Linked DNA regions of Rattus norvegicus. The protein of the gene in region 1 purifies or fractionates together with the protein of each later gene. This does not show direct contact. Links are inferred from orthologs where the notes say so. Each region holds a gene or a part of one and is shown on either strand. Other genes may lie near its edges.

Evidence for each region.
Region 2: the proteins of Cttnbp2 (region 1) and Stk26 purify together in Homo sapiens (affinity purification with mass spectrometry; 4 studies listed by BioGRID and IntAct, with this or other methods). This does not show direct contact. The link is inferred for Rattus norvegicus from reciprocal best matches to the Homo sapiens genes CTTNBP2 and STK26.
Region 3: the proteins of Cttnbp2 (region 1) and Strn purify together in Homo sapiens (affinity purification with mass spectrometry; 3 studies listed by BioGRID and IntAct, with this or other methods). This does not show direct contact. The link is inferred for Rattus norvegicus from reciprocal best matches to the Homo sapiens genes CTTNBP2 and STRN.
Region 4: the proteins of Cttnbp2 (region 1) and Strn3 purify together in Homo sapiens (affinity purification with mass spectrometry; 4 studies listed by BioGRID and IntAct, with this or other methods). This does not show direct contact. The link is inferred for Rattus norvegicus from reciprocal best matches to the Homo sapiens genes CTTNBP2 and STRN3.

What each region holds. Positions count from the first base shown.
Region 1 is NC_086022.1:47,838,383-47,845,790, reverse strand, and holds part of Cttnbp2 (cortactin-binding protein 2), read left to right. Parts: intron 1-1,222; coding exon 1,223-2,849; intron 2,850-7,408. UniProt on the Homo sapiens protein: Regulates the dendritic spine distribution of CTTN/cortactin in hippocampal neurons, and thus controls dendritic spinogenesis and dendritic spine maintenance.
Region 2 is NC_086039.1:135,206,493-135,214,658, forward strand, and holds the start of Stk26 (serine/threonine-protein kinase 26), read left to right. Parts: upstream 1-2,999; intron 3,000-3,119; coding exon of another isoform or gene 3,120-3,228; coding exon 3,229-3,270; intron 3,271-8,166. UniProt on the Homo sapiens protein: Serine/threonine-protein kinase that acts as a mediator of cell growth. Modulates apoptosis. In association with STK24 negatively regulates Golgi reorientation in polarized cell migration upon RHO activation.
Region 3 is NC_086024.1:22,084,170-22,092,106, forward strand, and holds the start of Strn (striatin), read left to right. Parts: upstream 1-3,339; 5' UTR 3,340-3,383; coding exon 3,384-3,617; intron 3,618-7,937. UniProt on the Homo sapiens protein: Calmodulin-binding scaffolding protein which is the center of the striatin-interacting phosphatase and kinase (STRIPAK) complexes.
Region 4 is NC_086024.1:74,805,331-74,812,738, reverse strand, and holds part of Strn3 (striatin-3), read left to right. Parts: intron 1-2,308; coding exon 2,309-2,449; intron 2,450-6,512; coding exon 6,513-6,646; intron 6,647-7,408. UniProt on the Homo sapiens protein: Calmodulin-binding scaffolding protein which is the center of the striatin-interacting phosphatase and kinase (STRIPAK) complexes.

The DNA.
Region 1 (7,408 bases):
GGGGTTCTGTTCTCAATTCTGGTTCCCTCTTCCCAGAGGACTCTGGCTTGTGTCAAGTTGACGTAAAGATAATCAGCAGAGCAGGCCTCCCTGTAAAAGTGACAAGGGAACAGAAGCCAGAAGGAAAAAGAGGAGCCACACTCTTGTGCTGCTGGATGCTTTCGTGAATATGACAGAATCTTACCTCAGGTCTGGGAGGTTGCTCACTGGTAGAGCACTACTATCATGAATGCAGCCCTGGGTTCAGTGCTCTCCCTTTTATGTCTGGAGACAAAGGCTTATAAAAGCTCAGTCTCTGTGTGTATCGTTTGGTAAAGTAGTTTGTTTTCTGAGCAGCACCAAGTTAGGTCCCATGGCTTCAGGAACAGCCAGGACCTTTTGGGCAAAGAAAAGCAGGTACAACCCCACACCTAGGCATTTTGATGGGTGAGGGATGCTGGAGGGTTTGCTCGCTGGATACTTCTGTGAAGTGTATAGGATTCTTTGTGAAGGAGGGCCTCCTTAAGGCATGTGAAGAAATTCTAGGCAGGCAAGACAAGTTTGAAGACCCTGAAGCAAGAGGTAGGGTTAAGTTCACGAAGCACCAAGGTGGGCCAAGGTAGCTAAATCAAAAGCAGCTTCCAAGTAAACAACAAAGTGAGGCTTTAGGTTCACCAACTTTGACTGTAGATCTAATAAGATAATCTGTTAGCACATTATACTTTTATTCTTCAAACTCTTTACGTGTTATTTCATATGACTTCCAGCCCATCAGAAGGCGCTCAAAGCTGTTAAGTAATTTAGCTATATAATATCATCAGCAACTAAGGGGCTTGGGAATTAAATCCTGATTGTGTGTCTCAATGATCAGTTAATAATTCGCAGCCATTGAACCTTTATTAAATAGCACCAATTCTTTCACTGATCTGTACTCATCAAAACAGTTCTTTTTGAACTTTGTGCTGTGACTTGAAACATCCTATTACCATTCTCCTACACTGTGGTTAAATTTAATAGATTAAAACAATTCCCTTTTTTCTCAATGTAGATATTTTGCAGAAAACCCTTTGTCAATTTTCTCATTTTAATGGGTCTTTAAATATCACCTTTTAAAAAAATTCATAAACTGTGACACTTTTGCTAACCCAAATCATGGCATTGTTCAGAAATTAATAAAAAACTCTTCTATGATACAAAGAATATTCTATCTATTAATTCAGGCTTCCCTTTGAATATCTTCCAGTTGGAGATGGAAAAGCTCCAGCTTCAGGCCCTTGAACAGGAGCACAAGAAGCTGGCTGCCCACCTGGAGGAAGAGAGGGGCAAGAACAAGCACGTGGTCCTGATGCTGGTGAAGGAGTGCAAGCAGCTCTCAGGCAAAGTCGTAGAGGAAGCTCAGAAGCTGGAGGAAGTCATGGTGAAATTGGAGGAGGAAAAGAAAAAGACAAGTGAGTTAGAAGACCAGCTCTCCGCTGAGAAACAGAGAAGCGCTGGAATGGAAGCTCAGCTGGAGAAACAGCTCTTTGAGTTTGATACGGAACGGGAGCAGCTGCGGGCCAAGCTGACCCGAGAAGAAGCACACACCACCGACCTCAAAGAGGAGATAGACAAGATGAAGAAAATGATGGAGCAAATGAAGAAAGGCAACGATGGGAAGCCCGGACTCTCCCTCCCCCGGAAGACAAAAGATAAGCGACTGGCTTCCATATCTGTGGCAACAGAAGGGCCTGTGACAAGGTCTGTTGCTTGCCAGACAGATGTAGTGACAGAAAGCACTGACCCTGTGAAGAAATTGCCTTTGTCTGTACCCATAAAACCTTCCACAGGGAGCCCCCTAGTTTCCACAAACACAAAAGGGAATGTGGGCCCCAGTGCCCTGCTGATTAGACCAGGTATTGATAGACAAGCTTCCCACAGTGACTTGGGTCCCTCTCCACCTACTGCCCTACCGTCAAGTGCAAGTAGAATTGAGGAAAACGGACCAAGTGCAGGCAATGCCCCTGACCTATCAAACAGCACACCCTCAACTCCTAGTGGAACTGCCCCTGCTGCTGCTCAGACACTAGGTGCAGCACCCCAGAACCATTCACAAGCTCCTCCTGTGCACAGTTTACATTCACCGTGTGCCAACACTCATCCAGGTCTCAACCCACGCATCCAAGCAGCTAGATTTAGATTTCAGGGCAATGCAAATGACCCAGACCAGAATGGAAATAACACTCAAAGTCCTCCCTCCAGAGATGTTTCTCCTACGAGTCGTGACAACCTAGTAGCCAAGCAGCTAGCTCGGAATACTGTGACCCAAGCGCTGTCCAGATTTACCAGCCCTCAAGCAGGTGCTTCTTCAAGGCTGGGAGCATCTCCAGGAGGCGATGCTGGCACCTGCCCTCCAGTTGGTCGAACCGGTTTAAAGACTCCAGGGGCAGCACGAGTTGACAGAGGAAATCCTCCTCCTATCCCTCCCAAAAAGCCAGGGCTCTCCCAAACTCCTTCTCCACCACACCCTCAACTGAGGGCCTCCAATGCAGGGGCCAAAGTTGATAACAAAATTGTGGCTTCACCTCCCTCTACATTGCCACAAGGGACCAAGGTAGTAAATGAGGAGAACGTCCCTAAGTCATCCTCCCCTCAGCTGCCACCAAAACCATCCATAGATTTAACTGTGGCATCTGCAGGCTGTCCCGTTTCGGCCCTGGCCACGTCTCAGGTGGGTGCCTGGCCTGCTGAAACCCCTGGACTGAACCAACCCGCATGTACAGACAGCTCCCTTGTCATTCCCACCACCGTTGCCTTTCGCTCTTCCATAAACCCTGTTAGTGCCTCATCCCGTAGCCCCGGTGCCTCAGACAGCCTCTTGGTAACAGCATCAGGTAAAGGGATTAAAGTCTTATACCCTTTTGTAAAGAATGTGGCCTATTCTATGACCTGTCTTAATTTCTTTCATATTGTCTTGAGACATTTTTAATACTCCGGTTGTCCACTTCCTCATATTCATATTCTCTCTCTCTCTCTCTCTCTCTCTCTCTCTCTCTCTCTCTCTCTCTCTCTCTCTTCCCCCCCCTCCTCCTCCCCTCTCATTTTCAAAATTATTTTGTAATTTTCTTTAAGGCTCTCGGGTGATGGTGAATCATCTGGCTCTATGAATTGTGGTTTCATCATTCTAAGTGCTTTTCTTGAAAATAACCTGAAAATAGTGGTTAGAAGTCCATGAAGACCATTAATTTAGAGAGACTGAAACATTTCCAGGGCAGAAAAGAGTATCCCTTCCTATTAAATATTTATCTCGCAAGACCTCAATATTAATGGATCATCCTCAGTGTGCTTTCAATTTGCTCCTTTTAGGATGGCCTAAGAAAAACCCTTCCAAGTCACTGTTTGTATAACTCTGGATTAGCAGGTTAATGGGGGTTTATTCTGTAATTAATAGATTCTGAAGGTTCATATCAGTTTGGTATGAATGTCCCTTTCTTACCCTCAACAAAAGACCATGAATATTTATAAATCTCAGTTAAAGCTTAGCTCATTTTGAATGACATGTACCTCATTTGATAAGTATTGTCTCCCAACACACAAGCCCAGATGGCTTCCACACCACATGGGACATTACAATTCACATTGCATGAGTGCCTTATGAAGTTGCTCAGTCTAGGAGGTCCCTCAAAGGACTAGATATTGTTGTTGTGTGTGGTTATGAAAGCATTGCTTTTTCATTATCAAGGCAAAAGTAAATTCATGCTCAGACCTAAAGTTCTGGAGTAGTTTGTGCTGCCCTCATCAGACATCAGGGATTGGTAGATCCTATTGGCTCTAAAAGAGCAGGGATTTCAAATCGAAAGGGAAATTTCAGTAGCATCACATTTAAAACTTAAAGCATGTAGCACAGACTGCAGTTCTAAAGCTGGCCGCCAGGGAAGGAGCTAAGTGCTTCAGATTGCCCGACTGCATGCCTCTAATTCAAGCGGTTTCCATTGAACTGCAGTGTTGGGGAAGTTTTTATTTTTGAGGGCAAAATTGAGAATCCAGAAACATCACGCACTTTGGAGGTATAGATCGGCATTAGAGATGAGGCCACATTGTCTATAACTGTGGTTTCGATGATCTTTTTCACCATGAGCAAGTATTCTCTGCCTTAAGTTGGAGTTTATAGTGCTCAGAGGGAAGGTGGCTAGAGGGAGGTTCAGAGAGCATAACATATCAAGGCATGGCACTGAACATGCGGCCGCATGGCTAATCCACGCCTGACTGGTACTGTTGCTTATAGCACTTTTGAGAGTTTGCTTTAGAATTTATTGTCATTTTGTGATGTTATAGGCATTTGAGGTTCCATAGGGGTTTTTTCTCTGACTGTATTGAGTGTGATATGGCTTGATATTGCTTGGAATTATGTTGGCTTTCCTAATAGTTAAACCTACCCTAAGGAGAGGGGCATTTGGTACCGTTCAGAACAATCCAACATGGACCCTAAGATCTGTAGACTGTTAGAAAGCATTGGCTCCAGAGTCATTTGGAGCCGTGACTGTGCTCTGATGTAACTGTATAGACTGTGTGTAGGCAACATTTCCCAGAGCAAATGAATGTCATCAGCTGGTTTTGTTTTTAAGTATAAAGCTATCTGTTTTTTGATACCTTGAGGCTCTGCCAGCTGGTGCCTCGGTAGGCACCATAAGTCTGAGTCCAGCTGCACACACCCTCTAGTAGTCAACAGAGAAGCTTTAAAACAAGCTTGTGTGACTGCGGGAGAAGTTAAGTTTTAAAAGATGACTAACTTCTAATCTGTTAAATATTTGCCCAAACAGCTGTTTTGTATTCAGTGGGATTCTGGATAAAAGAAGCCAGGACTCTTAAAAAAAAACAAAGCAAAACAAACAAACAAACAAAAAACCTTTTACTCATATCTGAGGTGCCAAGGGGAGTTGAATGAGATTTTGATGAAGCGACAGCCATTGAAGATATGTAATGTCAGTTCCTTGTTTTCCGATTTTCAACCTTCTAGTTTGGCCATAGTGTTCCCAGAACTGTAGGGTGATGCCCTTTGATGGAATAGCAGGCTTCTGTCTGATTGATTATAAAGTGTGCATCTTCAGGGCAGAAGGGTGGCACCGGAGGTCTAAGTCCCTTAGCAGGTGTTCAGTCGGTGCCTCCTTATGTGCTCTGATGGCACAAATGTTAGAATGAAGCCTGCTTGTATAATTACAGAACTCAATTGCGGGTGAAGGCCACCCTTAGCCTCCCAAATTAGTTAGCATTTTACCCACATTGCATTTAGTTGGTTCCAGTTCTCCTTTTTTAAGGATTATTTTGGTGGGGATCACATCCACAGCCTGATGTGTGCTAGGTGAGTGCTCCACTACTGAGCTACACTGCAGCCTTTGCCACACCAGCACCCGTTCTTCTTGGCAGCACCCGAGCTCCCTGCATCCTGCTCCTTAACCTGGCTGTGCCTGAGTGAGCTTGTTCCTCTTCAGCTCAGAAGCCCATAGGAGGTCATCAACTTTCCCCTGGCACCACTGGGGTTGCTAGGAATGACGCCCAGGAACCGAGTGTACCTGCCAGATGCCTTGCTCCCATTTCTTTGATCATGTGAGCAAGCATTGAGCTGAGTTTCAAAGGGCAAACTTAGCTCATTTCTGCCCTTTTGTAGTTATAATCCTGGGGAGGAATTACTTGTAAGCTATTAGCTTTGTCATCTACACCTTAAACTCTTGAACCCAAAATTAAGGCTATTTCCCAACTGAAGGATGTTCTGACTTATCCTCGTGTTGGAGACTCTTTATTCCTCTTTGCCCTGGAACCTGGGATCTTTCTCTTGAGATGCCCTGTGTCCCTGCCACCTCTGTCTGTAACAGTGAGGTGAAATCCCAGTGAAAAGCCGGAGTGGCAGAGGGGTCTCATTTTAATGGGTTGCGTTCTAAAGTACGCTAACCAGAGGTGACCTCATAACAAATCATGAACTCTTAAAATAGTGTTTTAAATTGTAAATGAATTAGAAATTCTTACCAATTTGTCAAATGAATATATAATATATAATGTATAATATACACATATATTTATATATTATATATGATATATTCCAATGGTTACATGAAGAAGGTTAAAATAGGAATCACTCCAGGCAACTGAATCCCCAAACCTTTGCAAATTTTTCTGTTTCCCTTCCTTCCTTCCTTCCTTCCTTCCTTCCTTCCTTCCTTCCTTCCTTCCTCTCTTTCTTCTTTGTGATTGTTTTTCTTGTTGATATTATTTATTTTATTACTATTATTTATTTTATGAATTCCATTTCATTTGGTTCAGACTTTTTTCCTTCCTTAAAGATATTTTCTAAAGTATACTCGTGTATGATTGGCTTGAATGCTAAATCGCAAAATCAGAATGGTCTGGGCTGTGACCTTAACCCTCTCCACCCTCTGAAGCTGGTGCCAGAAGCTGTTCTCAGCTCCTTTTCCTCTGCCCTTGCATGTCCCCATGTTTTGTGGCCTGCTATGCAAATCCTCACCTTTACTAGCGTTTGCCTACAATGCCGTGTAGCCGAATGACTTTCTAACACCTGTAGAGTAGCTGTGTGGACTCGGGTTTATTCTGTCCTTAACTAATCCAGTTAATCACATATTACCATTTCTCTCATGGCTGAGAATTTCAGATGAATACTAATGTTTAGTGAGGTCTTTCTTTTAATTCCAACATATAAGTAACAGGAGTTCTTAAAATAAATTGTATTGGGAGAAAACTGGAAATTATAGTAAAAAAATAACATTTGTTTAAATTTAAGAGCTTAAAGTTTACAATATTTTCAAAACGTTTTCTTTTGTGAAGATTTAGAGACCATTTTTTTTCAGTCCTCCAAAGAAACTGATACTGCTTTCTTTGAATCTGACTGGAAAAGCAACAACACTTCATGACCTTATGATTAATAACATTTTTGAATAAAGCCTTTTACTGCTCTCAAGTGGGGTCTTCCAGAAAATTATACACATAATTGAATATTTCCATATAAACCCATATAAAACAATTGGAAATGTGAATTTGTATTGTCTCTTACAAAGCCTAGAACTGTGGTTTAAACTAAAAGATGAGCAAACTTTAGTATGTACACATTGGTATTCATGGAAGACTGTCAAGAACCTAGATTCCTTGAATGAGATGTAAAGAAGAGATGAGTGTGTGTGCACGCATGTGTACAGATGTGCGTGTGTGTATGCATGTGTGCATGTACATGTGTGCCTGTGTGCATGAGTGCGGTGTGTGTGTGTGTGTATGTGTGTGTGTGTGTGCACGCGCGCGCAGATGTTTGCGTGGGTGCATGAGTGTGTGTATGCATGTGTACAGGTATGTATGTGTGTATGAGTGTGTGTGTACATGAGTATGTATGTGTGTGTGTTTATAGCATGAAGCAGACCCCCCCATCCCTGTTCTGCTGGGGACGGTAGTGTAA
Region 2 (8,166 bases), on another chromosome or scaffold:
ATTTTGTTTTAATTTGGAGGGTTTGTGGATACTAACATGGAATTCATTTTCTTCATGAATTCTGCATATAGTCTTAATTTCTCTAGTTGCTAAACATTCATAATTACCTGTGGTAATGGACTATACAGGCTGAGTTTCCCTAATCTGTAAATTTCAAATCCAAAATGCTCTGAAGTGTGAAAATTTTTGAATGTCAACCTGAGGTTCAAAAGTTTTATATTTTCATGTTCAGGGTGTCAGCTCTTAAGAGTTCATATCAATAACTCCATATTTGAAAAACTCTGAAATCTGAAACACTTCTCTCAAGCAGTCAGATGCGAGACACTCAACCTGTATTATTAGTATTAAAACAGTCAACCATTCTCTCTCTCTCTCTCTCTCTCTCTCTCTCTCTCTCTCTCTCTCTTTCTGTGTGTGTGTGTGTGTGTGTGTGTGTGTATGTGTGTGTGTGTACGTGTGCGCGCGCATGTGCATGAAGTCAGGAAAGTCATTTCTTCACTTGTTTAGAGTTCATTTGTTTACTAAATCCACACAACACTCTCTTAGGTAGTTATGAAGTTACAACTGGGAAGAACACAGCAGGCCAAAAGTGAATTGAATAACATAAACAAGGGACCATGTTGAAGGTTAACCAAGAGCAGTGCCTGTGAGTCTAACCTGACAACAATACAATAAAATATAATATCCCCAATATATACCTAATATCATCAAAGAATACCAAGGAAGTGCATTTGCTTATCAACAAATATTTATTGAGGACCCACTTTGTGGCACAGAACATTCTAGACTCTGAGAATAACCCTAATAGCAAACATGGTCCTCAGAAAGATATCGTTCTTCCAGAATAATTCTCATAGAAGAGAAGCTGGGTCTCTGGCTGGCTTCAGTGAGCAAATAAATGGCGTACAATTCCTAAAATACAAAGACAGAGCAACCCTGTAAATGTTTCCACATGCACACAGCCCAGTTTTGAAAATGAGCACAGGGCAGGTGCACATTGGCTGGTGGGTCTGAGAACCTTCAGTGGACATGCTTGAGGTGGGTCTTTAATGATGGAGCTTGATTCACATCGTACTAACTCAAAAAAAAAAAAAAAACCCACCCTTAGAATCACTATCTGCTTCATCCTCTCAGACCTTGTTCACAGTGCAAAGTCTTGGGTTCACTCCACACTTACAGGTTCAAAATCTTCAGAATAAGAATAAAAAATAGTTTTCCTTAAAAAAAAAATCCTTTCAGCCCAGCATGGTGGCACATGCCTTCAGTCCCAACATTCAGAAGGCAAAGGGAGACAGATCTCTGTGAGTTTGAGGCCAGCTTTTTCTGCATAATGAGTTCCAATCAAGGCAGGGCTACATAGCAAGACCATGTCTCAACCAAACAAAATAAGTAAGTAAGTAAGTAAACAAGCAAACAAGCAAACTCCCTTGAGGTCTCTATGAACATTAAAGTTTTGGTGGCACGGTATGTGTCTGGGTAGGCTAGGACATACAGTGACTTGAGCTGGTGAGAAATAGATACTAGATCTGGGCCTACCATTGGGAAGAACAGAGAATGCCAAGACTTGGGGGACTGTGAGTAAGGTAAAGTCAATGCCATCATTTAATATCTTTCTTCCATATAATAGAAGGTAGCAAGTGTCAGGGGGACCCAGACTGAACGTCTCAGATGCATTGCTTTTTAATTGCAATATTTGAGTCAAATATTTACTTGGCTGAACCTTTTGCTCTAGTTGTTCAATGGGGAGAAAGAAGTGTGACCCAAGTGATCTCTTGTCACAATAACTCTTTACAAAACACAGTGCATAAATTTTGGGCTCTCTGTCACAACAAAAAAGAAATCTATTAATAATAATCATGTTGATAATAACCAGATACTTTTCTTGGAGAAAAAAAATTATAAAAGAAAAATAATGTTTCCTGAGTGTGCCTTGGTTGCATAGGCTTCTAACAAACTTCAAGGTGAGTTCTCATTTTAAACGTGCATTTTGTCCTGTAACCTCATTAGCCCCTGTGTGTTCATATAGATGCTTCCCTGAGATTCCTGTGACTGGTATTATCACTGCCACTGTTGTGTTATTGGGTCCTCGAGAAAGGGTATGCCTCACTCCTGGAGTTGGACTTAAATTGGAAGAACGCAGGGAGTTGCAGAAGTCAAGGCGTTGTATGCTAAATTCAACTATCTATACTACAAAAGATTTAGTCTCATGCTCCTTGCGTCTGTAATCATTGTTAAGTTTTCTGCCGATACATGATCCCTTTTCCAATTTGTTTCTTTCACACGCGCAGAAATTGTGAGAAATTTCAGCCAGGCCATTCCACAACTGACAGCCTAAGGTAAGAACAGACTCAGGTTAAACTAACTTGAGGTTTGTCTAGGGGCAAGGAAGCTGAAAATTGCAAGAGAGAAGTAACTTAGGCACGAAAGAGCAGGTGTCTGGCTTGGTGGCCCCACCCTTGGCCAGGTGGGGGAGCCAAGCAAACTTTTGCAACTCCAGACCTCTGGGCGGCTACAAGCACCCTAGCCTCCCAAGCCTGTCTGCAACGTGGCCGTGTTCGTTCATCTGGGTCGCCCTCATATCCCCCACCCCACTCTCGCTCCCGCAAACTCTTCTGTTCTTTCTCCAGGACCAGTTATGTTCCAGGTTTTTCGATCCCGGCCTTCTGTTGCTCTCCGCAACCCCTGAGAGCCCCATGCTTCGCCAACTCTGACTACTTTAGCCAACCCGGTTTGCAGCTTGAAGCCTCAGCTCCCCTGACACCGCCCGGCAGCGGGGTGGAGGCAGGGCCAACTGCGGAACCGCCCCCGGCCGCCTCCCAGCCTAGGCGTTCGGGCGGGTTGCTGGGGCGCCTCCACCTCCTCTTCCTAAAGCGGCGAGGCGCAGCAGAGCCGCATCACTGGAGCCCAGGTCCCAGCCACTGCCGCACGCACAGCTCTGCATTCAGGAAGAGGAGCGGCACCGCAACTGTCCGAAAGCTAGGCGGGCGAGCGTCAGAGAGGTAAACTGAGTCCGGGAGAGCAGCGCCGCGAACCGCTCACCTCCCCGCAAGGAGGGCGCAGTGGGGGAGTGGAGGCTGCAAGCACCAGCCCACTAACTCCACTTCTCTGCGTCCCTCCAGGCCCCGATCGAGAAGCCTGGGAGAGCTGCAGAGCTACCCCCGTAGGAGGAGCCAGTCTGTGCCCCAGGAGCCACCACCGCAGAAGCAGCGCGAAGTAGCAGCCGCCTCCATGGCCCACTCACCGGTGGCTGTTCAAGTGCCCGGGATGCAGGTGAGGAAGCCCAGGCCTTCCCTGCCGCCCACGTGACTGCCCCAGAGCCCCGCTTTGGGCACGGGGCACCGGGGGACCAGGGGCAGCCACGGAGCAAACCTGAAGGCAGGGCCGGATCTCTCACCAGGTGACCCCTAAGTGAAGCTCGAGGTGTTTTCTGGCGTCCTGGCTAGAAGGTGTTTTGCTTGGGAGAGATTGGGGTGACCGAGAAGCAACAGAAAATGGGGGTTGGGGTTGGCGCGCGGGGGTGAGGAAGGGGGGGCACGTACAAAAATAGGCCAGAACCTTAGGCACCTGTACTTGTTGGCTTGTTAATCGTGGCACAGTTGAGGACTCAGAGTGGGGGAGTCCCAGAACTTAACCTAGTTGAGATGAAGGCATCTTGGACTATGTGGGTTAAAACACCCAAGCAGTGCCCCACACGGTACACACAGAAGTTGGGGCGGAGCGAGACCAGGAGTGGTGGTGGCATTGAGTTGGGTGCTTCCTATGTGCAAAGGGAGAAGAGCAAGATGACTTCTTTTTCCCTTTCGGTGCCATTTACAAGCAAACTTCTATGTCACTCCCCTACCTAGCCCAGTGGGCAGTGCTATGAGGAATGTGGCATCCTGTTCTGAGGTGAGGACTGCTCAGGCCCTTCGCCTTGTCTGTCTGCTAAGGTGGTTGGTATTTAAGCTTTTGTTCATTGCAAAGGAAAAAGTGTGGGACCCAACTTCTTACTCAAAGGCTATGCAGTTCTCCTTCCACTATATTATCATTTCATTAAAGAAAAGTTATGTCAACAAATGTTTTACACATCTCGTTTTTTTAACCACTCTAACATTTTAAAGCATTTACTTGTGGGGTACCCCCCATGGTCACCTAAACAACCCTTTATAAGTAATAGATTAGAGGCTAAAAACACTAAAAATGGGTTCCTTATGATATTCTAAATATGCTAAGTCAAATGAATTATTTCAAGTTATAATTATAATGTCGAGAGCCCTGCATAGCCTATGCTTTTATTAGGAATCAAAACGTGGTAGATTGGAGTCTCAGCCTCCTGCCTCGTGCATGGATTCCATCGTTTGCCTTGGAAATTGGTCTCATTTTTATTCATGATAACAAAGGTGATTTTTAAAATATCCTTTCTCCTCAAAGGGGCCATGTGTACATCTATCCTGCGTTTAAGGACAGGTCTGGGTTGAGACTCAAGAAGGGGAAGGAAAGCAGTGAAAAGGAGAGTTGGGCTTTTAATGGCATTAACCCATTTAAGTTTTTCCTAGGGTCCCAAAGTTTTTTTGCTCATGCACTCTCATTCTCTGGCTCTCTTTTCCATAGCTACTCTGTCCCACACCCCATTCATTCAGTGCTAGCTTTGCCTGTATCTGGACAAGTAGTAGTTTGCAATAGGAACTTTTGCTCTGATCTGGAACAGCATGTGAGCATTTCCCTTTGTGCACAGCTTTCTATTATGTGGAGAAGTCGAAGTTTACATATGGTTGCTGCTTGAGGGCTCCATGCTTCTCTCTCCATTGTGAGCAGGCGCCTGCCTGCCTGCAGCCACACTGGTGCATCTCCTTCATCAACTTTGTGCGATTCTGGGGAACTCTGTGTGCTCAGGAGAAAAGAGTTTCTGCTCTTTATTTCATTTGCCCTGACTTTATTTGATTTATGTGGTTTCTGGTCTTTATTTAATTTGTTCTGACTTTATTTGATTGAGATGGTTTGCGAACTGCTCGCTGTTCAGCATTGGCGTATGGCTCGCTGCTTTGTTTAATTATGTGAGCTGGCTATCTCTTGGAGGTTTAGATCTTAATTAAGGTGGGTTGAAGTGTGAATCACAGATTTGGAATCATCAACTTTGCCTTGCGTCGTATGCTTTCCCAAAGTTGTTCATTTGTCAAGCAAGCCTTAGCGATACAGGGGTACTCATCTCACACCTAGCAAAGATTATTGATTATTGTTCTGCCACTTTTCCTCTAAGTGAAATAGCACATTCTCCAATTATTTTCATTTCTATTTCTAGATGTAGTTCTTAAGCACTTGCTGTGACCTTTACAAAAAACACAACTTTTCCATTTTTAAAATTATACAGGGACCTAAAACACATTTATAGCATGCAGTGTGACCCTTGAGCCTAAAGTAGGTTTGTTTCCTTTTCCAAAAACTATAATGTAAAAATATATTCTGAGATCATAATAGCTTCCTAGAGTTTTGTTAGAGTTAGGAGCAAGCAACTTTTAGGTTGTTTAACTAGCAAGAAAACTTGATTTTGCCATGTGTTCTTTAAATTAATGTTTCCCCAAGTCACGGTGAAGTGATTGACTGGCCCATACATTTTTAACTGTTTATGTTGGAGAGTTATGAAGATTGATGGGAAAAAATGAGTTTTCCAGAAATTAAAGGGGAAAATGACTTTCTCCACAATGTTTTCCTCCCTCTGAGCAGAGATGCAGTGCATAAACAGAGCTACCTGCTGTCTCACCCAAGTCTTCAGCATTGCTTACTTTCAAACAAAGACATTCTTGTTGCCACTAGTTTAAAATGTAAAAGAAAGTTGCAGTGAAGGAAGAAACCCCAGGACTTGGTCCAATTCAAACTCATCCTTGTGAAATTAGTTCCTCAAAACATATATTGTTGATATTTCTCAATGCTGTACTGAACATTTTTGCCCTACTACACCCAATGTCGAGGACATGATTTTTTTTGTATTTAATTTGTGTATATTTCATGTTTATAATGAAAGGGATTTTCCATTCAAGGAGCTTTTCTCTTGAACCACATTTAAAGTACAACCTTAACAAGGTAATAAACCAATAAACTGTCTTTCCACCCAAATCTTTACTCTTTAGTGATTTAAAATCTGTTTTTGACTTTGAAGTTGTCAGTTAAAAATATTTGAAAGTTTATTTCCCTTAAAGCTTAACATTAGTGTTTTAAAATAAATATTTACATATTTGTCATTTTCAATCTTTCCTAACATTTAGGTAAGAGAAAAAGTTAGATGTTCAACCAAATTTAAAATGTTATTGTGTTTCGTATGCTTTACATGGTATGTACTAGTAAAGAAACATTTTTTGCTTAAAAGAATTCTAAAATTATCTCTCTTATACCTTTAACTGTGAAAAGGGTGGTACAGCTTAGCAATGCTTGTTTGAGATCTCAGTGGAAGTGAAGTTTTAGTATTAAGAAACACTTTATTGAAGACTTTTAGCAAGGAGTAAAAATATTATCTGACATTGGTGAACTTAGTAAAAGGTTCCAGGAAGGACCAATAGAGAGATCTATGATCTGTGCTTAAACAACTATCAAGTCTGTGACCTTACGTCTGTAAGTATCAAAAGAGTGTCTGACTAGCAGAGTTGAAGGTTTCTAGAAGGTCAAAGTGTTAGGATTTGAGGTAGGTATTTCCACATAAAGAAACCTTACATGTATAGACAAGGGCTTGCCTGCATGTTTAAGCACACATACACATACACACATACACACATATACACAGTCTTTGAAAACAGAATAAAACCACTTAAGGGATTATGAAATATTCCATGAGAGAAATAATAAGTAATAACTTTGGAAAGCTAGAGTGGAGGCCTTTAAATGCAAGGGAAGGATTTTAGCCTTTGAAATGGCCATTGAACCTTTCTGTATAACGGACAAAATAAACAAAGTCCTGCATAGGAAAATTCCTTATTGGATGAGTGAAGGTACTGGAAAGGTATAGTATTTAAGACAGTTTGATCTATGCAGATTAACAGGCTGCCTTCCATATCCTTGGGTGCCATAAGGAAAAAGACATCACTTGATTTAATAATTTGCTAGTAACAGCAAGACAAGTGAGGTAACACTTACATCTGAAGAAAATGTAATGCAGAAGGGCCAGACCTGACAGGAAGCAAATGATTTTCAGGGAGCAATGGGCTGACAACTTAAGATTGTCCAACACAGTCTGGAGATTTAAAACTGGAACTTTATTCAATCGTTCATTGTTGACCAAGCAAGTACTGTATACCAAGCACTTTACTTAAAGAGAAAAGATGGAAAGCCATTAAGATGGGAGAGGTCTATAATATCAGTGAGAATATGTGAAAGCAAAGGCCCTCGTGGGATAGGAAACATGGCCTGTAAGTGAAGATGCATGAGAAGATGAGAAAATAGTCTAAGCTAAAGAGGGAGTTATTAGCTAAGGCAAATTCTTTATTAACTGTCAGATTTGCTGCATTAAGTAGCAAGACATTGGAAGCATCGCCTTGAACATAGGACCCCTTTGTTAAGCAGCTGAAGCTGAATCATTAAATATGATATCGATAATAGCTGGAAGAAAATAACCCAAGAAACTGGTGTACTGGAGAAGGAGGTGTAGTTGTAGTTTGGAGGCTTGAAAATAGGGCTTACAGGCTGGGGCCTATTGTGGAAAGTAAATAGGAATAGGGCAGAATATAGCATGTGAATTAGATGGTAAGGAGGGCTTGAAATGGTGCTTGAATAAAAGAGGTCCATCATGTGCTTCCACTGCTTGAGCCATAGAAAATGAGAGCTTATAATTGCATGGTACTTGGGAGCCAGCGAGCACTGCGCTGTGCTGCTTTTACTCTGCCTTTCATCTATTCAGTGACCTTGTCCAAATTGTCTACATAATTGGGAAAGTAAAAGCTACATTTCCTTTGCCTCAACAAGAGATTATTATGATGAATTAAGTATCCTCTATGGAGTATATTTGGAGTTCACGTGGACAGTTCATACTGCAAACACCATATCATCTCATCTCTCTTCAGCTTAATAACCCATTTTTTTTATTAAACCAAATCCTGACTACCCCACCTCCCCAATCAGATCTAAAACCCTATGCTCAGTTTCTCTATAGATATAACCTATATAGTTTCTATATAGATATAGATATAGTAGTGTAAATACTTC
Region 3 (7,937 bases), on another chromosome or scaffold:
AACTCTTGCTGAAGTCCTGGTGTTTGAGTGAAGAAATTGTGGCATTTACAGGGGCTTTAAGTGCGTGTGTGTGTGTGTGTGTGTGTGTGTGTTTAAATTTCAATTAGTCTTGTGAACTATATTATACCATACGGTAGGTACTATGGTAAAAATTTAAATTCATTCTCCTATATAACCTCACAGTTATTTTGTAAGACAAATGTTATGCTTTAATAACAACCGAGAGAACTGGGCCAGTGAGAAGGCTCAGCGGGTAGAGGTACTATGACATACGTCCTGAGTTCCATCCCCAGAGACCCACATGCTGAAAGAAGAGAACTTACTCCATAAGTTATTCTCTGACCTCCACACATCGGCAGCACGCACGTGCGAGTGAGCACACCACACACACACACACACACACACACACACACACACACACACACCGCCCTTCACCCCACACACCAGTTTTAGAATCTAACTCATAGAGTAGGAAAATATGGGATCCAGGGGCCTTATTAAAGCAGAAGAACCTTAAAACTTTTTAAAATGTACTGATTTCTGTTAAACTACCAACAAAATATTACCACACACGGATCTTCTAAAGGAAGTTTAATAATCCCATTTTAGTATGACTCTTAGTATTTTTGACTTGTTGGATATTATTTCCATAATATGTACGTCAATACTATTCTGATTGCTCTCAAAAGCAAAGAAAGTATGGAATAACAAATTTGAATATGAATGAAAAGAATTCTCCAGTACGTATCCGTAGTAGTCCAGGATGCCTATACTTTTGGGAAGTGTGCAAGCGTAGTATGTGTATGTGTGTGTGCGTGCATGAAATCCATGAGTATTCCTTCACTGCTCCCCAGCTTTTTTGAATTTGTTTGTTTGTTTGCTTGTTTGTAAATAGTCAGGAATCCCTCACTGAACCTAGAGTTCACCTGTTTGGCCAGATTGGCCAGTCACTTATCTCCATGGGTTCACCTGCCTCTGCACCCTGTCATCTCCCAGTGCTGAGTTACAGGTCATTGCCTGCCTTTGTGGTTTATGTGAGTGCTGTGGGTCCACACTCAGTTTCTCACGCTTACATGGCAAGCGCCTTGTTATCTATACATTTCATTATATTCGATAGTCTTTGTTTGTGAATCAGTTTAAGGCAGTGATCTTGTCTGACATGTCTTCTATTAGAGGAAAAAAATTGATTTTGAACATCTGAGATTATAAAGTTACTTAAATCCCTCAGATGACAAAGTTCCATTCTTAGCCAGGTAGTGGTGGCACATTTCTTTAATCACAGCACTTGGGAGACAAAGGCCAGTGGATCTCAATTGGAGGCCAGCCTGGTCTACAGAGCAAGTGCCAAGACAGCCAGGACTACACAGAGAAACCCCGTCTCAAAAATTCAAGAAACAAAAACAGAGGAAGAAAGGATAGGAAAAAAAGAAAGAAAAAATTTCTCTTCATGTTTCCGTGGCTCTGATAGATAAAAGAGAGTAATCAACCTGTTTTTAATTTACTAATTAAAATTTAAATTAGGTGGATAGAGGAATAGATAAGTAAATAATTTTGGGGGTTGGGGAGCAGCCCTGGCTGTCCTAGAACTCACTCACTCTGTACACTAGGCTGGCCTTGAGCTCTGAAATCTGCTTCTCTCTGCTTGCCTCTGTCTCTGGGGTGTGCCACCATGTCTGGCTCAACTTTTTTTAAGGTCACTGAGCTAACAGGCAGGTAATCTGGGTGTAGTTTTGGCAGTCATCGGTCACTCAAGGACTCATTGAGGACAGCCTCAGTCTCTTGAGCTGTGAATGAGAGACTCAGGCAAAGAACGTTTAGAGCCAAACAAATTTATGACACGAGGAAATTGGCCAGGCCTGGATCAACTTTTTATGATAATAAAGAATGGATTCAGAGAGCAGAAACATTCAGTAACTGAGTGAAGAGGGCTTTGCCATGGCTATTTGCAACCAGAGCAGATACAATGTGTTTCCTGTCCTTTTCACATGTTGCCATGGGAAGAAGGGGAGCAGAGAGGACAGAGACAGGATGCCCTTCCTTTGCAAGTCACTCACCAGCTTATATCTTTTTTTTTTCATGTCCATCAGATCAAAACAAAATTACAATTTTTTGTTACAATGACAACTAAATAATTGCTTAATTTGGGTTTTCATTTCTTAAATGTTCTTCAGGCACCTTCCTTTCTCGGGTTGGTGTAGTGTAAATTTATAGTGATAATTTTATCAGGGAGCTCAGAGAGGGAAAACACTGCCAAGTCACTTAGAAGGAAAGGATTCTGGTGTGCCTTTGGTGTAAAGATCAGTTGCCCAAGAAATTGGGAAAGCAACAAGTGGGAAGGGAAGGTTCCAGGGTATTCAGGAGTGCAGTGGAGCAAAAAGGGACTTTGTTCCTTCCGAGTGTAGCCCTTAGGGCTCTGTGACTCTACATGTATGTCAATCTCCTTTTGATGACAAGAACTATGACATCTATCTTTATATTCCTGGCACGGAATATAACTGACAATAAGATACTTGTCCAAGCGAATTGAGTGAAAACTGCCGCAAAGATGGGGAAAATGAGATTGAACAGGCAGCACTTGTTACTGGAGATCTAAAACTTTTGCAGAATTTACCGGCAGGATTACTACAGAGAAAGGGGCTTTTATACCAATACTTCAGACTAAGTGTTAAACTAGAAATTAGAAGAAGCCCCCCACGGCAAATGTTGAACTTTTGCAGAAAGATAGAGGTCCAGAGTGCCTAAGGGAAAACTGGTCTGTTAACAAGCACTGAGCCCCTCAGGAGATGAAAGGCAGGCTCGGTGACAACCCTTAGTCCAGGGGTGTTGAGGCTTTGATGAACCCCCAAATGGGCGACGAAGGGGCAGACGACCGGATGATTTGCCCAGAGCCTATTTCCTAACAAAGCGACCAGGAAGCCCTAAACTAAGTGCAGCTGGGGCTGGTACTTGGCTTGATAACTTCCGCGTGTGAGTATGCAACAGGGAGCGCCGCCCGCGAACTTCCGCATGAAAGGGGCCAGCCGCGGCGCGACCCTAGGGGCATCGGCTGGCTACACCTCTGAGGAGGAAACCCGCGCAGCCCCGAGGGGAGGGCGTGGCAAGGAAAGGGCGTGGCTTCAGTCCCGCCTCCGAGAGACGCAGGCCTACAGGCAAGCAGGGTTCGCCACGCCCCAGGACTACATTTCCCGGCAAGCCCCGCGGGCCGCAGTTGACCCACTTCCCGGCCCGTCACGGGCTCGCCCGGCCCCCGCGCCCGGGCGGCTGCTCCCTGCTGACTGGGGTGTGGGCGGGGAGCGGCGGAGGGAGGAGGCAGAGCTGGCCGCCGCAGTTTGCCGCCGCTGCTGGGCGCCTAGGCAGAGCTCCCCGGGGTTCGTGCGGCCGCCATGGACGAGCAGGCGGGGCCCGGCGTCTTCTTCAGCAACAACCATCCGGGAGCTGGCGGTGCTAAGGGGCTCGGGCCTCTGGCGGAGGCTGCAGCGGCGGGAGACGGAGCGGCTGCGGCGGGGGCGGCCCGAGCTCAGTACAGCCTCCCGGGGATCTTGCACTTCCTGCAGCACGAATGGGCCCGCTTCGAGGTGGAGAGAGCCCAGTGGGAGGTGGAGCGGGCGGAGTTGCAGGTAAAGACCCTCCCGGCCTGGCGGTCTTCATCCCGCCTCTTCTCTCTCTTCTGCCCCGCCCCGGACCCTTCACCCCCTCCCCCAGTCCGCTTGCGTCCCCTCCCCCTTGCCTGGCTCCCATCACTTCCAGAATCTCATCCCCCTTCCTCCAGTCACCTTTGACTTTTCTGCTCCCACTTCCTTGAGCCTGTTTTCCCACTCCTTCTGATCCATTTACCCTCCCGGCGCCTTTTTGTCGGCTGTTTCCCACTCTCAACTCCCGTGCTTGCTTGTTGTTTCCACTGTTTGCCATGCCACATCTTGGGTTGCCTGTCCCTTTCGGTTTACTGATTGGATTGACAGTAGTTTTGAGAGACTCCGAGCAAATCATCCTGGCTCCACATGACGCACCCTAGGTCTAGAGACATTCCCCGCAAAAGGTTTTGGCAGTTGACTACTACTCACTCACTCTGCAAGAAAGGTGACCAGAGACAGCAACATAAGTTGTATCAGCGAGGCCTTGGCTTTCCGCGAGAAACTGACGTAGGGCTAGGGTGTTACAAGCAGTATCAGCTTTATGTCTGAAAGTGTTTCCCTTTCTGCCCTTTCACCCCATCCCGCATTTGGTTTGGATTCATAGGTTTCAATGCAGGGACTGCAATCTGACTGAAGGGAGCCAGAAAATGGGCAGAGGTGGGACACCTTTTTACAGAATCTAAAACTTCCCAAGAGTTGGTTTTTATGGTCAGTGCTTTGCAAGCCTGACATGTACTTTAAAGGGAACTGAAGGGGCCTCAGTGCTACATCGCCCCCTTTCATAACCTGCAAGGTAAAGAAAGTATGCCTATCTGAGAGGAGCTGTTGTGGGCCAGAGAAGGATGAAAGGTTGACACTTCACTGGCCATTCTGAGTTGGTAAGTAGGTTTTCTCTGACTGTTTATAAAACTTCCAACACACACACACACACACACACACACACACACACACATACACACACACACACTAATTTCCAGAGGAACTTCGAGAGCTGTGAATTGTTGTGCCTCTCTGTTTTATGGGCTAAGCCTATATGCTTATGAAATTTAAGTACAGTTTTAGTTTGTGAAGCACTTGAAGTGTGTTCCTTTTTTTGGTCCCTTTTTTTTTTTTTGGCACAAAAAAAATTAAAGAGAAAGAAACATGCTGAAGAGACTCAATTGCAGATGCATCCTGCTTTGGTGAGGCGCATGTGGCCACAGAAGGAGCAAACAGGCAAGGTTATAGTAAATAGGTCTCTGATAAAGGCTATGCTTGCGTCCAGCTCTGTGACCTTGAGGATATTCTGTGACCTCTCTGGGCTTCAGTTTCATCCTTTACTTATTCAGCACATGGCTCAGGCCTGGTTGAATGCCTGCCTTGTGTATTCAGACTCCAGCCAACGAAACTGGAAAAGCTGCTGCCCCCTTCATGGAGATTCTGTTTTAGGCAGAAGGCGAACAGTCAGTGGATAAAGCTGTGTGAAATAGCCTATAGTTGGGCTCTTCGAGGGAAAGTAAGAATATAGGAGTATAGTCACTTCTTGGGAGGTGGGTATGGGCAATCGAATGAAGTAAGGTAGTGGCCTGTATGGTTTCTTCTGTTTCTGCAGTTATGTGGTTTGTGTTCTTTGCTGACTTTTTAATACCTACTGTTAGGTATAAGTCTGTTTGATATTTGTAAGTCTTGTAGTGATGGCTGATCTCGTACCCAACCAAGTGACTGAGAGTACACAAAAAGTCTGGTGCTTTGACATTTACCTTCCCTGGCAATGCATTCTGCAGATGAACTTATGGAGGGGTTCAGGTCAAGGGCCAACTCTCACACATGGTTGCTGGAAATGATTTTTGTTTGTTTCTGCTTAAATTTTAGCATATTTTATAGTTTAGGGAATGTAGAACAAATGACACCTATCTGGTAAAAACGAGCAATAAGACAATGTTTGCCTTCCTGTGTGTAGGTATGGGGATTTACGGACTAGCCTATGTTTGCTCATTCTCTGAGGCTTCAATTTTAAAGTTAATTAGTCTTTAATTTTTACACACACATCCAGATTAACTTCAGGTAAGATTCCTGTTGTTGCTTATGTTAAGAACACTACTTAATTTTTTTTTTAAATAGCGTCTTTTGATTTATGTTCCAGAAAGTTTTTTTAAAAAAATCATAGAATTTTTTTTATAAATAAAATAAATATTATTATCACAGGGTTTGCAATAATACATGGTCTTTGTACCATTCGCAGAATTACAATTTTTAAAAATCATGTACTTTTAGGTCAACATTAAATTTGATTTTCCCTTTCTGTACCATTGGGCTTTTCCTGGCGGGGGGGGGGGGGGACAAACAGTATAAAGTAAAAGAGTTAAATGAGTTGCAATGACACATACCTGTGTCCTTTTAATTTTTAAAACTCTTCCGAAGCCATTAACACCAAAGTCAACAGAAGTGCCTTTAAGGTTCAGTCTCATTTGTCCCTACAGGAACCTGTCAGTCCTGCTCCTTCAAGTTGTCAGGGGTGAGTTGTGAAAGGCAGCCCAAGTTCTCATCTGTCTGGGCAGCCTGTGTCACTTCCTCCCTCCTGCAGATGCTGGGAAGGAGAAAGGAGTCATATCAATCAAAACATTTTTTTTTTTTAATTTCCTTTTCCTCCTCTCCCATGTTAGTTAATGGATCATCCCCCCACCAACCATGAGAATTGATGATTCACAAGAGAACAGAGATTATCAAGGTATTACTGAGTTTTGTGTTTGAAAAAGGAATTGAAAGAATAATATTTGAAAGGTTTTTTTTTTTTTTCACGTATGAGACATGGTGCCCGAGACCCCAAAGAACCTTGCATCCTAATCAGTATGGGGGAGATTGACTTTCTTAGAACAGCCTGAGAAGATTCAGCAGTAAATGTGGAAAGTCGGGAAGTAATCACAACCCTAGGCTTAGTCATTTGAAAGTTACCTTCAGAAAAGCAAACAGGTAATAGAGTGACCGTAGATTTTGATGATATACAGGTGGAAGGAGGAGGCTGTGGTTCTGTCTACGTGGGAGTGGTAGAATTGTTTAGATCAACTAGTAGAGGGCATGTGGTATAGAGGCTCTGGGCTGGAGTGTTTATGAATCTAGATCTTGGCACCAATGATTTGTATCTCATTTAGCAAATATTTTTCAAGTATATACTTCATGCCAGGTCCTGTTTTAGGCATGGAGAAGATATAAGATCTTATCTCGTGAAATTTAAATGATAGGGTCAGATAAACAGTGAATACCTGCTACATTGCAAAGTCTTACATGCTCTGCTAAAGTAAAGGGATAGGAAGAAGTCATCATAGATTGAGAGTTAGCGAGCAGAATCCTTCCAAGGCCGTACCTGAGAGTTAAAACAGCCAAGAGAAGGGAGGGTGCTTAGAATATCACGGGGACAACAATGGGGCAAGTGTGGCCAGAGTGGAGGAGGAGTGGAAGAAATGATGCCGAGGAAGATACTGATCCTGCTTCCTGTAAAGACTTTGAATTTTGGCTGCATCTGGTGGCACAGGCCTGTAATCTCTGCTACTTGGCAGACATAGGGTGAGAGACATCACAAGTTGAAGGCTGGTCTGGGTTACAGAAGGAATTAAAGGGTAGCGTGGACTCTTAGTAGGTCTAGCTTCAAATGCAAAGTGAAAAGAAGACTGAGACCAGAGCTCCGAGGTAGAGGGTTTGCTCAGAGTATGCAGGGCTCTATGTCCAACCCCCAGTACCAAGAAAATAACCACCGCTGGGCTTCACTTCTGCAGATTGGGCAACCATTGGAATGTATTGAAAAAAGGAGCATCTTTAAAACGAACCCTTAGCAGGAGTTGAGAATATGCCCCAGGAGGTGGGAAAGAAGAAGCAGGAAGGGTGTTTAGGAGTCTGTATAAATTAATTAAGGCCTGAGTTGAGAGGTAGTGGTGGGTTTTTTTGCATGTACAGTTTGTTTATGTATCATTAAAACATAGTAGGTTCTGAACACAGGAAGACAGCTCACTAGTCAGTGTGCCACGCGCGCATGGGTAGGATGTGAGTGTGAGGAAAAGGGGACTGAAACAATTCAGCACTTCAGTCCTGCATACCTTCGAAGGATAGCTGAGATCCACTGAGCACATAAATGGAAGATGTAGGAACTTAAAAACGATTGCGTTTCGTTAATTACAGCAGTTATTTTACGTATCACAAAATGCAACAATGACAGACCTGTTAATAAATCTATACTCTAAGCTCACTGTTATATTTCATGCCTATAAAACATATGCCAAAAATATGACCTGTCAGAGCCTTAAGTTACCTTGTGAGAATTAAGTGAGATCGTTT
Region 4 (7,408 bases), on another chromosome or scaffold:
AGAGTAGAGAAGTTTCATCTTCTAAAATTGGCATTGTGCTACTTAGACTAATGTTTAGCTGTAAGCATGTAAAGATATTATTATGTAATTCTAGAGCCTAGATTTAAGCAATGACTTTAATAGTCATCCCTACTCCCTTCTGTATTTCCAAGTCTACTTTCTTAGGAATTTATTTTTCCATATTTTCTAAAACAAGATAAAGCTTTAGAAATTTTCTTAATGCTTGTTATTAGCTATCATAACAAAATTATTTATAAGTAGTTACTAAAGCCACACATAAGTATTTACTAAAGCACACGGACACATAATAAATTCTTATAGCAAAAAAAAATTAGTAAAAAATTTTCTGAGGAAATAGATTTGGATAGAGAAATACATAGGATTTGTATAGGCCAAACGTGTGTGTATGCATGCACACGCTTGCCTGCATGAGAGCAAGCAGGAGGGTGGGAGAAAGAGTGAGAGAGGGAGGAGGAGGGGGAGGAGGAGGAAGAGAGAGAGAGAGAGAGAGAGAGAGATGGAAAGGGCAGATTCAATCAATCAAAGCAGAATGCAGAATAATTTGTATTATATGGAGAGTTAAGGAGATTTGTGTCAAAGTAAAGGATGGAATAGAAAAACACATGAAGCGTGTGTAAGGTTAAGTGGATGATCTTAGGAGTCTTTATTCGAGAAGAACGAAGTACTTGGCAGTGCTGATGGAGGAAGCAGTAGAGTAGATGATAATTTAATTGGTGGTATTCAGATTTGATAGACAGTAAATGGGCATGAAGATTATTAAAAAATTGAGTCTAACATAGTCTAGTAAATTTAAAGGAAATTTAAGGGAAAATTATTTTATAAAATATAACTTTTTTCCTCTTTATAAGTTGTAGAATTATTAATATTTGATTGCAGAGTTTTAACTGCAGTAGTCACAAGTCAGAAAGTTATAAAGAAGACTTGTGTGTGAGAAAGATTTTCTTTCTTTCACATTGAATTACCTGGTTGTTGGATATCCAGTCAGCATTGCTTTTTCTTTTGTTTTTTTCATTTGTTTAGAGAATTTATGATTGCATCACTGGCAAGGAAAAAATGCTCAAGTCACAGTTTCTCCATTATAATTCTTTTGGAAAATTTAGAGGATATCATATATTGCACACATTAAAAAATTGACTTTTTTTTAACCATTTTTAGTTAGGGACTACTATAAAATAATGTGCAAATTTTCATTTATTTCCATTCTATACTGGCCTCCAGTTGCCTCTCATTCTATTTATCCATAGATATCTATTTATCCATAGATAAATGAATTTCCTGTGGGCTACCTGATCTTCAAATACCTGCCGGTGATTTTAATCACAAAGCAGCCTTGTTTAGTGAGCTCATTAGTGTTCATACTGATGAATATGAGGACATGATGTTTGACCTTGAATTTATTTTCATTCCTTTTATGCTGATTTTAAATGCTTTTTTTCCCCTAAATTTTCTTTGACATGGTTAAAACTAAGTTTCATCTTGTGTAACTCATATTTTAAAAGTATACTATGTAACTCAGTTATGTAATTCATAGTAAAAGAGTATACCATAACTGGTATGTATATACTCTTTGAGTTTTGTGTTATCTAGGCCTTAGTTGAAATTATTTTTTAAATTTATGGCCTATGACAGTGCTGACTTTTTCTGTCATTACACGAATTTCAAAGAACTCAAGGAAAAATCTGTTTCTAATTTGGGAAAGTGAAAATTTGAGGTAAATAATTCTAAGAAACAACTTTTAACAAGTTGGGTTAAATTGTGAATGACATTCATTCACAATTGGGGACATTCCCCAATATGGTGGGAAAATACTCATAAAAACAACAGGGAAAGTTAATTGTTTGTTGCACCCTCATAAAAGCCATTTTGTATGTATTTCTTTGACTTTTAAAAACAATGATTTACATTGAAAGGCCCATGTTTTGTTTTATGGACTAGTAAATCTCAGCTTTAAATACTAACTTTTTCCATTGATTTAATAGCATTTTCTATGGCTGAACTTACAGAATTTAAGTTGAGTGATAGAAAGAAGTTTTTCTCTCCCCCTCTATATGTTTCAAATACAGTGTTACTTATTACTGATCTATCCAGTATCCACAAAGCCACAAAATTGTGACTGTACAACATATTTAAATGTTTTCAGAATATTTTAGAAAATTGTGTATAAGATGATATTTAATAGCTTGGACTTCTTAAAAGCCTGTTTTGTTAGTAAGTTGCTTTAGTAAGGCTGCCAGCAAGTCAGGCGGTAGCTATTAAATGAACCTCTACTGCTGACGTTAATTTACAGGGGTCAACAGGACAAACCTCTGCGACATGATAACTGATCTGGGAGATGATGAGCTGCCCCACATCCCTTCAGGAATCATTAATCAGTCTAGGTCAGCCTCTACTAGAATGACTGATCATGAAGGTTCAAGAGCAGAGGAAGGTACAGCATTTAGCTATCGTGTTTGTTTGTATTGCTGAGTTCCTTAACTCCAAACCACCTCTTTATATTGCAAACGTGCTATTCTCTAGAATGCTAAAGATCATCCACGTGATCATTAGAGGTGTTGGGCAAGCTCTTGGTATAATTGCTTAGGGATGAAATGTGTCTTCGAGTTTTTTATATTTGTTTTTGTTTTCATTTTAGATGTAGTGGTTTCCATCATAGGTTAGTTCCGAGTACCTTCCTTAAATCTAACTTCACCCTACAATCTACTATTAAGAAAAGAACAATTTAATAAATAGACTTTAAAAAATACAGGTGGGGAGAAAACTAATTCTTCATAGTGTGGCTCAAATGTAGCAGCTGTTAATAAGTACCACTTAATAGGAATGCTAGGAAGTGTAATGTATTTCTTATATATTAGTCCTAAAAGTAGATGTAACTGTTAGGATCATATTAGGATAAGAAACATCATTTTTCAACTTGGTAGCAAGTATTCATGACCTAGTAAAAGATTTCTAAAATTTATCTAAGCCAGAAGTACATAGGGAGTAAAAATATTACCTAAGAATGTTTTGAAACTGATTTTACCTAAAGATACATGGATATAGTATAATTCTAGGTGATGATATACTTCTAAATAATCTCAGTTTTAGTCCAGATTACTTTAATATATGACACATGTATGATAACATATTAGTAATTTTATGTAGGTAGGTTTATTTTTACCTATGCTTGCAGGGTGATTTGTTCATTCTTTTCAAATTTTTACATACATTTTGCCCTAAGTTTTTCTGGGCATATTTTCTTACAGTGAAGCTTAACAATTTTGTATTTTTCATGATTTATGACTTCTTACCTTTTTTAATTCACAGAATTTTAAGGAAATATTTTTTTTAAATAATGTAATAAAACTAATAGTAAAGAATGGAAATTAAAATAACTTTGATTCTCCCCCCCCACCCCCCGTACTTTCCAGTAAAGTATGTTCTTTTTCTCTTTTCTAAAATACAGATACTAGCTCTACCATTTTTATTGTTTGGATTTGGGATTTTCTTTTTCTGAGTAATGTGTAATGTTTTTTACTAAAGTTTTTTTTTTAATTTATATTTTAGATTGCCTTTTTTTTTTCAGTTTAAGGAAAAGTCAGATTAACGATATGAACCCTTTTTAACCTTTAATTCCAATTTAGGGAAAAGCCAGTAGGTTTATTCTGTATAAAAGCCATGAAGGGCTCTCTCTGTGTGTTTGTCAAGTGTGTGAGTGTGTTTTTAAGAAGAAAATAAGTTGCTAACCTCTGTCATAGTGAGGGTAAAGGGGCCGGACTGACCTTCATTTTAAAAGAGTGATTCTCATAGCCTATTTTAGTGACTTTGTCAACAAAAAATTTGGTGCCTTTGGAAAAAAAAATACATGTTACATTTCAGTTATAAAGAACAAATCCCTGTTCTCTAATATTACAACATTTTAAACTATTGAAAACCAAATTACATTCTGTATTGTCACCAGCAAGACTGGCATCAGTCATTGGCCTGCATGTTCTTTAGGTTTGATAAAATTGGAGAAAAGGGGCTGGGAATGTATCTCAGTGGCAGAGTGTTTGTCTAACAATGTTACACACATACACACACACACACACACACACACATACACACACACACACACACGTCACTGCAAGAAAAAGGAGGAGTTTGACAAGAGCTAGAGGTTTCCTTCTTGGTCATGCTGTCTGTCAAAAGGAGAACTAGTTACAGGACTCTTAAAAAGGACCTTTTTGAAAGATTCTATTTTATAACCCCTAGGATTCTCATGAAAGACAATTCTGCTTAATAAAAATTTCTATAATTAAAATAAAACGTAGGTCCCAGTGCTTAGAACACAGAGACAGGAGGATCTCTGTGAGTTTGAAGCTGTCCTGTTCTATATAGCAAGCTCCAGGTTGACTAGGACTGTATAGACCGACCCTGTCTAAAAATAAATAAAATAAAAGTACAATAAAATATTCATTTAATAATTTCATTTAAATTTGTTGATTATATCGTTATGCTATATACTGTTATAGGTGATTATACATGAACTTAAAATGATTTGTAAAATAGACATTAATTCTTTCAGCAGTGATATTAGAACAAAAAATTAAGAATTTAGTGTGATTGCTTCATGCTGCAATGATGGGTGATAGAGCAGAAATAATGATGTAAAATATCTATTTGCATAGAGACGTAAATAAGTATTAAAAGTAGTATCGTTTACTAGATATAAACAAATATGTATATCTATATAGGAAGGGTGCAGAAATGTAGTTTACATTACTAATTTTAGAAATGAGTATAATATTTTTTTGTTAAATAACCTAGCTAAAGTTGTTGAACCACTTTTCTTCTTGTGCCTGGAAGCTGGTCAGTGTTTGATTCCCACAAAAAGAATTTATTAAAAAATGAGTTGATTTGTGATGGTAAAGTTTTTTATTGAGCTTTTAAGTTTGTGTTAGTGAATACTTGTATAGTTAGTGAAGGGAAGTGTAGCATCTGTCTTAAATTATTTTAGAAACAAATTATGAACTTAAATAAGTTTTTGTACTGGTAAAAATTATAAAGTAAAATTTGATTACTGATTTTAATGTAATTCTTAAACTATTGATCTTACCGTTCTTAGCTGCTTCTTACATTATCAGTAACTATGTACTAATATTGATAGAGATGAGTGCTACGTGCTGTTCATATTCAAGTATAACCATTGAATGATGGCTTAACAACTGCAGGAACTGACAAGTGGTTTAAATGTATGAGATATTTAGCATCTTAACACACATACTGTATATTATTTGAAGTGTTTTCAAATTAGGGTAGTTGCTGAATTATACCTTTATTTAATGAACCACTTGAGTCTGGAAACTATCAAATAAAATCTTAAAAATTCTAAATTAACAAATTTACCTTGGTAATAGTATATATGAGTTGAATGAATTATTTTCAGAATTATTAGTAAATTAGTATTAGTATATTTCATTACACCTGTTACCTGTAGTTATTAAATAGATGCTATTTTGTAGGCATTTTTCATAATTCATTAGCATGAGTTTTTTAAAAGTATTTTTTAAAGTTCCTGAATTTTAAATGTTTAGGTTGACTCATTTTATAATTATTTCTTTCCTGCCACCTTAATGTTTCTATTATGATTTCAAAGCACATACTTAATTATATTGAGAATTGCTGCTTATACTTTGAATTGTCTTGTTACAGTTAGTTATTCAAATGATGGTAGTTGAATTCACACTGTGGTATCGGTATAGAAGGTATAACCATTCACGAGAGAACGAGATGAGGTGACTAAGCAAAGTAAAGCTTTCCTTTCATTCTCACCCAAACTTAATGTCAGTGGGGTTTTTTTTGTATTGTTTTGTTTTGTTTTTTTTGTTTTTGTTTTTGTTTTTGTTTTTTGTTTTTTTACTTTAGCAACATCATAATAAATAAAAGAGGGCATTAAAGTGAAGCCATAGTAAGAGCTTTAAAGTCAGCAGGTGTCCCCTTTAGGACACTTTAAATTAGTAGTCATTGTTTTCTACACTGTAACTGGCACTGATGAGTGGTATGGCAGTGTCTGCAAACTGTCATGTCTCAGTGTTCTTGGACTTCTTCAGAAACTAAAAGGACGATTTAGCAGTCACATATTGACTTAAAAAAAAATACTGTATGAGCTGACCCAAGGTTGATAGACATTTGTTTACCAGAAGTGACTGAAATCTGATTATTTAATCAAAACTGTCCAGTTACAGTTTACCAAAGTTGTGAGGGATCTAAATAGATACATTTTTTGTGTTCAGCCTCCACTTTGGGATAATATATATACAGTTTATGTTCAATTTATGGACGATAACTACTACATTGTAGTTTGAATACATTTGTTTATTTCTACTCAGTAATAGGGTTTTTTGTGTGTGGAAATGGGAAGTAGAATTCATAATATTGCTGAATTTTTAACTGTTTCGTGCTTAAATTCCCCACAATATTGTATTGTCCTGTATGATTTTTCAGCATTTAAGAAGCGGTTTTGTTCTTTATAGCTGAACCAATAACGTTTCCATCTGGAGGAGGCAAGTCATTTATTATGGGTTCTGATGATGTTTTGTTAAGTGTACTGGGCCTTGGAGACCTTGCAGACTTGACGGTAACAAATGATGCAGACTATAGTTATGATGTAAGTGCAGTTTTATTTTTAATTTTTTACTGATTTAATAGAAGGCTCCTTATTCTTTGGAATCATTTGTAAAAGAGAATTAATGTCAAGGTGCATGGAAAAGATAAGTGTGTTGATATGTTGATTTGCAATAACGTACTTTTGCTGTAATTTTTTTGTGGTGTTTAAATCTTAGAAATTTTGGTGGATTAGGTAGAAGTTACTACTTCAAAATATTGGTTGATAAATCCATCTTGAGTTGTTAACTCTTATTAATTCAGTTGAAGCCATATTTTGGTATTAACAAAATAGGTGCTGTAGAAATCAGGGTTTTGCTGTCAGGATAAGTCTTAAAAGCCATGTTTTGTTTTTGAGTTTTGTTTTTCAGTTACCATAAAGTTAGCTTTTATCATTTCCTGAATGTTTAACTTCACTTAAGGGCTACAAAAAGGAGATAGGAAGAACTTGATTAATATTAGACTGGTGCTTGTCAAATATTTTCTGAGCATAAACATTCAACTGAAAGCTATTTGTTTAGATTTTTTTACATTTACTTTAGTTTTTCAGCAAATTTCTTTTTTAAACGTTTAAAAAAATTATACTTACATTAGGATGACTTTTTAAAGCTATCTGCCTTAATTTTTGAATCATTTTCAGCTAAACTGTAGTAAACTTTTAACTGCTTTTAGAACTGGTTTTATAGCCTATCTTTTCTGATGTCGAGATGAAGGTAAAAAGACTAACCTTTATTAGTCTCGAGAATTAGGAACAGTGCTTATCTAG